2 linked regions of the Schizosaccharomyces pombe genome follow. Each later gene encodes a partner of the first gene's protein in a complex. Each region holds a gene or a part of one and is shown on either strand. Other genes may lie near its edges. The genes, in order: naa20 and naa25.

Region 1 (3,348 bases):
GAAAAGTTAGGTAAGTATGAGTTTGAGGTCCCAAAATTTGCAATTTCATTAACTTAAGTAGGAGAGGGAACATATGCGCATGTTTATAAGGGGCAAAATCGAGTGACTGGTGAAATTGTCGCTCTCAAAGTTATTCGTATTGATGCAGATGAAGGAACACCTAGTACTGCTATCCGTGAGATTAGTCTTATGAAGGAGCTTAGGCATCCCAATATTATGTCTCTCTCAGACGTTTTGCAAACCGAAAATAAGCTTATGCTCGTTTTTGAATATATGGAAAAAGATTTGAAAAAGTACATGGACACTTATGGGAACCAAGGAGCTCTTCCACCTTCTCAAGTAAAAAATTTTACTCAACAATTACTCAAAGGGATATCTTTTTGTCACGAAAACCGAGTTCTACATCGTGATCTGAAACCTCAAAATTTGCTTATCAACAGTCGTGGTGAATTGAAATTGGCGGATTTTGGGTTAGCCCGTTCAATTGGAATTCCAGTGAATACTTTTTCAAACGAAGTGGTCACCTTATGGTATCGTGCTCCTGACGTTCTTTTGGGTTCTCGAGTATATTCAACTTCCATTGATATTTGGTCAGTTGGTTGTATCATGGCAGAAATGGCTACAGGACGTCCTCTATTTGCTGGGTCAAATAATGAGGATCAGCTACTAAAAATCTTCCGATTATTGGGAACTCCTACTGAACAATCATGGCCCGGAATTTCTTTACTTCCTGAATATAAGCCTACTTTCCCTATTTATAAAGCACAAGATCTCGCCTACCTATTTCCAACATTTGATCCTCTTGGTTTGGATTTGTTACGACGGATGCTTCGTCTACAACCTGAATTAAGGACGACCGGCCAGGATGCGCTTCAACATGCTTGGTTTTTAACCGCATAGGCTGTAAATTAACATCAAAAAGTTTAACCAAATTACGATTTTATTTATTCATTTCAGTTTCCTATTGAAATCATTAATTTTTTTTTTGGAAAGAATGCATTTCACCTAGGGAAAGAGCACAATATTTTTGGACGTTCAAATTTCTTCGCAACTGTTTTAGCCCAAGTAGCTATCCCTATTGATCTTTTTTAAACGAGGTTTAGAGGTAAATATTTGGTTATTATTTTGAGAGGATTTGAAGCTGTCGAATATATTTTTAGCCAAGAATTAAACGGCGTTTTATTTTCTACGATTAAAATATCGTCGCTGATGACATTCAAGTCGTAAATGAAATACTTAAAGAATTGAATGATCCGCATTGCGTCTGACATTTTTATGAAGGAGCAAAAGGATAATATTCAAAAAGCAATGCGGGTTTTTAGTATACTGATAATAATTTGCGGATTTCAAGCAATTATCCGCAATGCACATGAAAAACAATCTTTTTTCACTTATTTTTATTAGTGGATTAATGGCTTCCTTCCCTATTATTTAACTGCATGAAGGGATTCTCTATTAATGTTCTCTTTAACCATTCGACATTTTATGTGGTTTCTGTCGTTCATTATTCTTTTTATTTACTTTCATCTATACTCCATCTTTTCAGTTTTGAGGCATCAATGGTAGGAGGTGACTAAATTTCTTTGAGTTTCGTTTAGGAAGAAGGTTCAATTTGTAAACATGAAATAATAATTGTGTCTTTTACAATTTCTTTTGAGTTTTTCTACTCGCTTGGCCCAGCAATCTATTGTTTAAGGAGATATACGGATTTGGCTTATCGTATTTTTACGACATCTTCTACCTCGCCAAATCTTTTAGTTTTACCCATACTGCTAGAATTTACATTACATGAAAAAATGACTGATACGCGAAAATTCAAAGCTACTGATTTATTTTCATTTAACAATATAAATTTAGATCCTCTAACGGAGACCGTAAGTTACCATCTACCGTACTTAAAGCGGACTTTCATTAACTCGAACAACTTTTAGTTCAATATTTCATTTTATCTCAGTTATTTGAACAAATGGCCTAGCTTGTGTGTTGTACAAGAGTCTGACCTATCTGATCCAACCCTTATGGGTTATATTATGGGGAAATCAGAAGGAACCGGTAAAGAGTGGCATACTCATGTTACCGCCATTACAGTAGCGCCAAATTCCCGTCGTTTAGGCCTTGCTAGAACGATGATGGACTACTTAGAAACTGTAGGAAATTCTGAAAACGCTTTTTTTGTTGACCTGTTTGTGCGTGCCAGCAATGCACTTGCAATTGACTTTTACAAAGGATTGGGGTATTCGGTTTATAGACGAGTTATTGGGTACTATAGTAATCCACATGGAAAGGATGAGGATTCATTTGATATGCGGAAACCACTTTCGCGAGATGTTAATAGAGAAAGCATTCGAGAGAATGGGGAAAATTTCAAATGCAGCCCAGCTGATGTTTCATTTTAGTTCACTCTCTTTTTACAAATCTATTAACTAGTGCAAAGGAAGAAGATTTTTTTTTATATTAGGTAAATGGTATAGTATGTACATCATATTAATGAAAATCAAAGTTCAGAAACGACTAATATTTGCTATGCTTTAAGACCTCGGTCCTTTTCCTTGCTTACATATTGATATTGTAAGTATTTGAAGTTTTTGATTAATGATTATGCAACTCTTTGGAACATTTTGATAATTTATCAATAAAATAATGTATCACTACACAATGGTTGAAATTTGCGTTCAGTTTCCTTTAGATAAATAGCAAATCGTCTACTAGTTACTTTATTTCTCTAATGTGAAATGGCAAACTAAATAACTTCTATTTATGTTAGCAATAAATCAATGAATGACTATACTACCCACTTCCATTCAGTCCTCTATACTTGCAAAATGAAAGACAAAACTATGTAAATACATGTAAAACATATCTTTACCAAAAATCGTAGCTACACGATCATCTGACTTAACAACTTTGCAAAAACAATTCACCACAGAAATATTTTTTTTAAACAAGTAGTAAGTAATTGCCAGCAATAACTTTTAACGTGAATTATTTTTTTAAAAGTAAAACTATCTGAAAAAAAATTTACATCATGAGCTTACAATATCAAAAGTTAAATAAAGAAATAAGAAAATATTCGAAGATTAAAAAGACGCCAGTTCAACGAAAAGAGAAGAGGCCTTTTATTTCAACCTTCTACTATATCGGTTGATTGAAAATTGACCAGAGAATTGAATGTATCTAACAGATCAGAGTGTTTCAACCTTTGTCCAACAACGGACTTTATACTGATAAATTTCACTTCATGGTTTTATTCAACCAAGTTCTTATACAAAAAGCACCTCTACAATTAAATCAGAAATCACACGCAACTTTACAGAAAATTGAGAAGGTCACAAATGAGTTATTTTATAT
Region 2 (5,830 bases), on another chromosome or scaffold:
GAAAATAATTGATAAAAATTAGACCGATCTTCGGGAGTAATTAAGGCTTTTATATTAGCTTGAGGATCAATTGTTTGTGGGGGTGATGAGTACTTGTTGTCAACAGCAGATTGAGCATTATTATCTGCGGAAATCTCATCCAATTTAGAAGACTTGGTAGAGGATATGCTTTGTTGATGAGAGAGTTGCTCAGTATTCACTAAAGATGGCTGAGTAACACCTTGTTCAATATTTGTATTCATTGCTGGGGTTTCACTTTTTGCGGATTCAATAACATCAGCGGGCAAAGAGCGTGGAAGATGAATCAAGTTGTATTGTTTACATATTGCAACTAAATGTCTTGCAATAACGTATTGATACATTTCAAGGTACCCAACATGGGCAGAATCAGCAAGATTCCATATTTGAGCGAGTACGGCGTAATGAAGTGAAGATTTTAAAAGAATAGGTTTTGCAATTGAACTTGGCATACAGCCTGGCCTTGCTGAATCTTCATGTCCTCGAAGATTTTCACGAAACTCCTTTTCATATTCGGAACGCTCGTCCGGGTTAATGGGGATACGGAAAGGGGTAAAATCAGCCGTTTCTGAAGATGAACGCTTAATATGATGGTCGTCTTTAGCTTGTTTTGGTAAAATTGGAGGATCTCCGGCTGATTAATGTTAGAATATAGCTAACTATTAACGCATTTTCATACCTTTATTATAATCTAGCTCTTGCAAAGTTGCTCCACGTTGAGCCTGAGAAATTAATCGAAAACAAGCATAAACCTGATTACGATCAAGTGATCCCTTATCCTCTTGATCACAATAATCCCATATCTAATAAATTGGCAGTTAGATATATATTTTTTCTTTTAGAAAGTGCAACGCTTTAATTTATAACATTCCACTCTTAGATTTAAACTCTAAACTTTAAGAGATAAAAACTGCTATCCCAAAGCTTTTGATTGAGGAATGAATTAAACATACCTTTGCTAATATCTTTTGAGGAAGACCAAACTTCAAAAGAAAAGGTCCAATAACACTTCCTGGGATTAAATCTTTCTGTTCTGGGTGGAGAGACTCAAGCAATCGGTCAAACTCCTGCTGTTCTATAGGGGATAACTGCAAAGGCTGCATATCCTATTTATGAATAAAAAAATAATTGCGGATAGTTAGATGTTAACAATTGTGAACTCTAACTCAATAAAACGTTTCTGATTTAAAACAAATACAAGTCATGAAATTAAACCTATCGGCGAATGTAACCTTTTATACAGAGAAAATAACAAAAAAAAAGCGCCTCTTTAAAGCCAAACGTTTAAAGAAAAATAATATGAAATTTACGCAAACAGGGCTGGATCGCGTAGATAGACTGAATTTTGGAAAATTAGAAGCAAAGCGATAAAGTCGGATCTCAAAGGAATAAAAAATAGTCCGTTGATTAAATTTAAAATACGCTAGTAATTCTCTAAACTTCGTCTGCGCTTTTCAACAATAATCAGTTAAACCGGCGGTTGGTGGAGAGCAGTTAATACTTGACAAGCATATCATTTACATCGCACCTCCTTAGTACGATTTATTTAACGATAAGTAACACCGTCCACGTGCTGACCAGCCTATTTGAAGAATAACGATATCATAGAGCTTACTGTAGGATTAATAAAAATATCATCAAAATGGGGAAAAAATTGAAAGATTATGAGAAGTATATGATTATTAAATAAAATAAAACTTTTAAGAATTGATACTGAGTTTTGATCTTTAAATTTAGTGGAGATACTCATTAAACAGCCTTATACCTAAATGAAAACTGAAAGGTTTACTGCGTTTACCTAGCATGCTTAGCAATGAATTAAAGGATTGCTCAATTACCTAGCTTTCTGAATATTACGCTAGCTTTCTACTCCCTTGCCATTGTAAAATACTTTTCTGGTCATCCCGCTGCTTTTCAATGAAACTGCTATTCATTGACAGCCTCTCAACAAAAGATGGGTTTCTCAAATTAAATGTACAAAAATTATGCATATTTTATATTTATTTGAGCACAAAATCACATTATATGACCATGCCGTGGATATACAACAAATTTTACAACACCAGGTATTTCTTTACGGCTTAAGGAAGTTTTAGTTATGACTGTAAATTGTACAGCTGTGAATATATTACTTAACCATAGTATACCCTTTAAACCAATGCAATTACACTTTTGCAGTAGATATATATCCAGATTCTACCACGCTGGCTATAATATTCTCCTCTGTAGAATAATAATTTGACTGCAACACCTACCAACTTCTGACTACTGTTTGGGCTTTAATTTCATTGCCTACTACAATGCGTCGTTCTGGGAGTAAAGAATCAACAATTGTAAGTAATCGAGTTATGTTTTTAGCTGTTAACATCCTTTTTAGGTTTATTCAGCGTTATCCTTGGCTCAGGCAGGACGTGGTCCCGAGGCTCTAGCACTTTTAGAACCGTTAAAATCGACTCCCATCAACAGCTTGGAACTTTTAGACATTATACAAGCTGTTTATGATGATCAAAAGAAGGGTAAGTATAATTAGGTTCTATTGAACAGATGAACATAAATGTTGATAGCACTTTGGTCGTATTTTTTATTTTGAATATTCTACTATTTCCTTGAGATAAAGGCTTTAGTTATTTGATCGGTTAAACTTTGCTTAAGAAAAACGATCTTTGTTCTTTTCGTAGCTTGATGATTCAAGTGCAACGTTTTATTTCTCAATGGACTTGTTTTTACCCTCTTACTTTTAAGTTATTAACTATTTGAAGGAGAAGAATCGTTTGTATTTTGGGAAAAGTTCTTGCAAACTTATGGAAAGCAGGAAAAAAACTTATTAGCTTACTTCAAAGCATCTATTCGCATCAAATCATTGTCTCACCAAAGAAAGGTAAGATCTTAATTTGTTTTTTTTTTACTAACTCCTCAGGCTGCTGTAGAATTGCAAAAGAACTTTCCTTCTAGGAAACATACCTTATGGGTTATCTCATCTTTGTATCTTTTGTCCAAAAAGTCGGAAAATGAGGTTGAACAACGTTTGCTGAAAGCACTAGCTGAAAAAACTGCTAAACTCATTTTCGAAAAACCAACAGGTTATATCGATTCTTGTGAGGAGTTTCATCTTTATTTAGACGTGTTGCTTTTAGTGGGAGACAAGGACAGAGCGTTAGATGCTTTAATACATCAAGATGCTGATCGCTTTGTTGATGCTGACGCCGACCTTCTTTTGAGGAAGCTTGAATTGCTTGCTTCCTGTGCGCGTTGGGATTCTTTATTCACGTTTTCGCTTTCTCTTTTCCAAACTGGGAATACTGATTGGAAGGTTTGCAAAGCTTTGCTGGATAGTGCTTCCAATGATGATTCAAAGTAAGTTTTTTTTTTTGCATTATTACTAACTTCTCCATAGATTAGTCCCATTAAAGGATTGTATATTGAAAGCGTTGTCAACCAGCAGCACAAAAAGAAATCTTCATTTACTTTGGATTGAAGCCAGCGCACGGTTTTTTCCTGAAGAACACGAATCAGCATTACTTGGCTATATCAAAAAGCTGTATATGAAACCAATTGTTTTTGAAGATTTGAGACCTTATCTATTGAAGCTGAATGTTGATGCACAACACCGGTTATTAGATGCATTTAAGTTGGCTGATCTAGGTGAATCCAATGAAGTAAGTATTTATTCATCTTTCAATATTAACTCGTCGTAGTCTCAAAAAGTCGATAAATTATATGCTGAGGTTTTGCTTCTGAAGATCCATTTTTTGCTCTTTGAGTCGTTTACTGCAGAATCGGTTGTCGATTACGTGCGTAGATGCTTCGTCGCATTTGAAAAGGGTTTGTCTTTAAGTAAAGGCTTATTACCCACTGACTTTACGCACGGTTATGAAGCTTTGTTATTAGCAGTTCATTCATTGATATATATGTGGGAGGGGAATAAGGATTTAAAACCTGCCGAAAAACAAGCTTTAATTTTTGACGCAATCTGTCTTTTAGAAAAAGGCATTACTTATAGTCAACATAACTTTCATTTAAAGCTACCCCTTATTCGTTTATATCTTCTTCTTGATGGAGGCTTCCCTGCTGCTGCTAAAGTTTACGACACTATGTCCATTAAGCAAATTCAAAACGATACCCTTGATCATTATCTCTTGACTCGTGCTACTACCTATTATCCATCTTCTGTTACTTCTCACTATATTAACTCAAGTCTCAAAATATATGGTTCGAATGAGTTTGAAACACCAGAGATGATTTCTATGGCTTATGAAGATGGTGCTTACTCTCAAATCGAAGATATGCGTAATTTCCGATCCCGTTTAGACCACAGTACCTGGAAAAGCATTTCTTTGGTCGAGCGGGCTAGGATACATTATCTTACCGCTTTTAAACCACCCAAACAGTATCTTCCCAAATGTTCATCTCCGAAAGATAATCGAGATTTAAAGGTCTTTGCAGATTATGGATCTGATAAATTGCCAACAGTTGAAGAAAGTTTAAGAAATTCGCCTAAACCGGACACGCTTTGGATCCATTTGACTGTCATTGGTCATTCTCTCGTTCAAGACAGCATAGTAAACGGCGATTTTGAAAAGGCCGTTTTAAGTGCTAAGGAAATGGAAGTTTTGTGCGAAAACAATGATTTATCGAAGCAATTAACTTCGGAAGAAATTGTTCATATGAAATTATTGATCCAACTGGGATTACTTTCGGTAAAGGTCAAGAACGGAGACTACGAAAATTCCTCGTTCGAAACGATTGAAAATTTAATTGAGTCATTCGATTATGAGAACTCCACGCCTTTAAGTCAATTGACAAAGTACACTGAAGTAAGTTTACCAAACTGGTTTTTTTTTTTAAAAAAAATGATATAAAAATTTCTAAACTAACCGAATTATAGATCATAAATGACCTTATCACTTGTCTAAACAGCTTCCTATATCACGTGTCAGCTACCAAGAAAAAAGAATTTACCAGACAATACCAACTTCTTAAAAACATCAGCAGTAACAAATTAGGAAGTATCTCTGGAATTACGAAGCATAAAAAGAAGGCCGCCAGAAAATATGTATCAGAATTGTTGTCAAACTCTTGGCTGAGCAATTTATCTGAAACTCAGGTACGTGATGATTATAGAGCATTAAAATTATAGGCATGAGAACTAACTTCCTAATAATAGGTTCCTTACGATCCGAAGTTTGCAAAACAAGTTGGTGAAGGAATGATCGATTCATACATTCAAACGACGGACGCAGTAAGCAAGCTTCCAAAATTTGTAAAATTTTAGGTAGATAATATTTAGAAACTTATAAATATGAAAATTTTTTATAATCGTTTGTTGTTTAGAATCTTGCTTCTTTCGTATGCAGAATTCAGAGAAGATGTGCCTGAACCTCTCTTAAAATAGACGTAAAGCATTATAGCTGATACCACACTTAGAGAATACCAAGTGATAATATATTCTGTATGACTGTTGAAAATTTCAACTTTTAGAGGATGACCAAGAGGCAAGCCTCTCTTAACATGATCGGCTTCTTGCAACGGTGTAAGCGATGGTTGTAGTTCTGTTATCAAAATGGGGAGAGTTCCTTTCAATTGTGCAAACTCACGAACATTTAAGAAGTAAAAAGAATTTTTTTCAGGCTCATTCTTCATCATAAATCTTGGCTTATCAGTATGTTGTCTCAAAAGACCTTCAATGACCACTGGACCTTTAGGTAAAGAACTAGGATCTCGAGAAGACTGTTCAGCAAATGATCGAGCAATCCATCCTCTGTTGACTAAAATTCGACGCCCATCGTCTAAAATAAATGGGGTTACTACGTGA

Evidence for each region.
Region 2: naa20 (region 1) and naa25 share a complex: the UniProt entries of both Schizosaccharomyces pombe proteins name them as parts of the N-terminal acetyltransferase B (NatB) complex.

The regions. Positions count from the first base shown.
Region 1 is NC_003421.2:687,772-691,119, forward strand, and holds naa20 (NatB N-acetyltransferase complex catalytic subunit Naa20), read left to right. Parts: upstream 1-1,756; 5' UTR 1,757-1,796; coding exon 1,797-1,874; intron 1,875-1,931; coding exon 1,932-2,396; 3' UTR 2,397-2,656; downstream 2,657-3,348. Other genes in the region: cyclin-dependent protein kinase Pho85/PhoA-like Pef1, read left to right, coding at 1-10, 62-900. UniProt on the Schizosaccharomyces pombe protein: Catalytic subunit of the NatB N-terminal acetyltransferase, which catalyzes acetylation of the amino-terminal methionine residues of all proteins beginning with Met-Asp or Met-Glu and of some proteins beginning with Met-Asn, Met-Gln or Met-Met.
Region 2 is NC_003423.3:1,505,872-1,511,701, reverse strand, and holds naa25 (NatB N-acetyltransferase complex regulatory subunit Naa25), read left to right. Parts: upstream 1-2,258; 5' UTR 2,259-2,318; coding exon 2,319-2,351; exon of another isoform or gene 2,352-2,395; coding exon 2,396-2,534; exon of another isoform or gene 2,535-2,777; coding exon 2,778-2,896; exon of another isoform or gene 2,897-2,935; coding exon 2,936-3,372; exon of another isoform or gene 3,373-3,412; coding exon 3,413-3,674; exon of another isoform or gene 3,675-3,713; coding exon 3,714-4,832; exon of another isoform or gene 4,833-4,903; coding exon 4,904-5,122; exon of another isoform or gene 5,123-5,182; coding exon 5,183-5,290; 3' UTR 5,291-5,317; downstream 5,318-5,830. Other genes in the region: UBA/EH/EF hand domain protein Ucp8, read right to left, coding at 1-652, 698-821, 972-1,121; cytochrome c oxidase assembly protein Shy1, read right to left, coding at 5,329-5,830. UniProt on the Schizosaccharomyces pombe protein: Non-catalytic subunit of the NatB N-terminal acetyltransferase, which catalyzes acetylation of the amino-terminal methionine residues of all proteins beginning with Met-Asp or Met-Glu and of some proteins beginning with Met-Asn or Met-Met.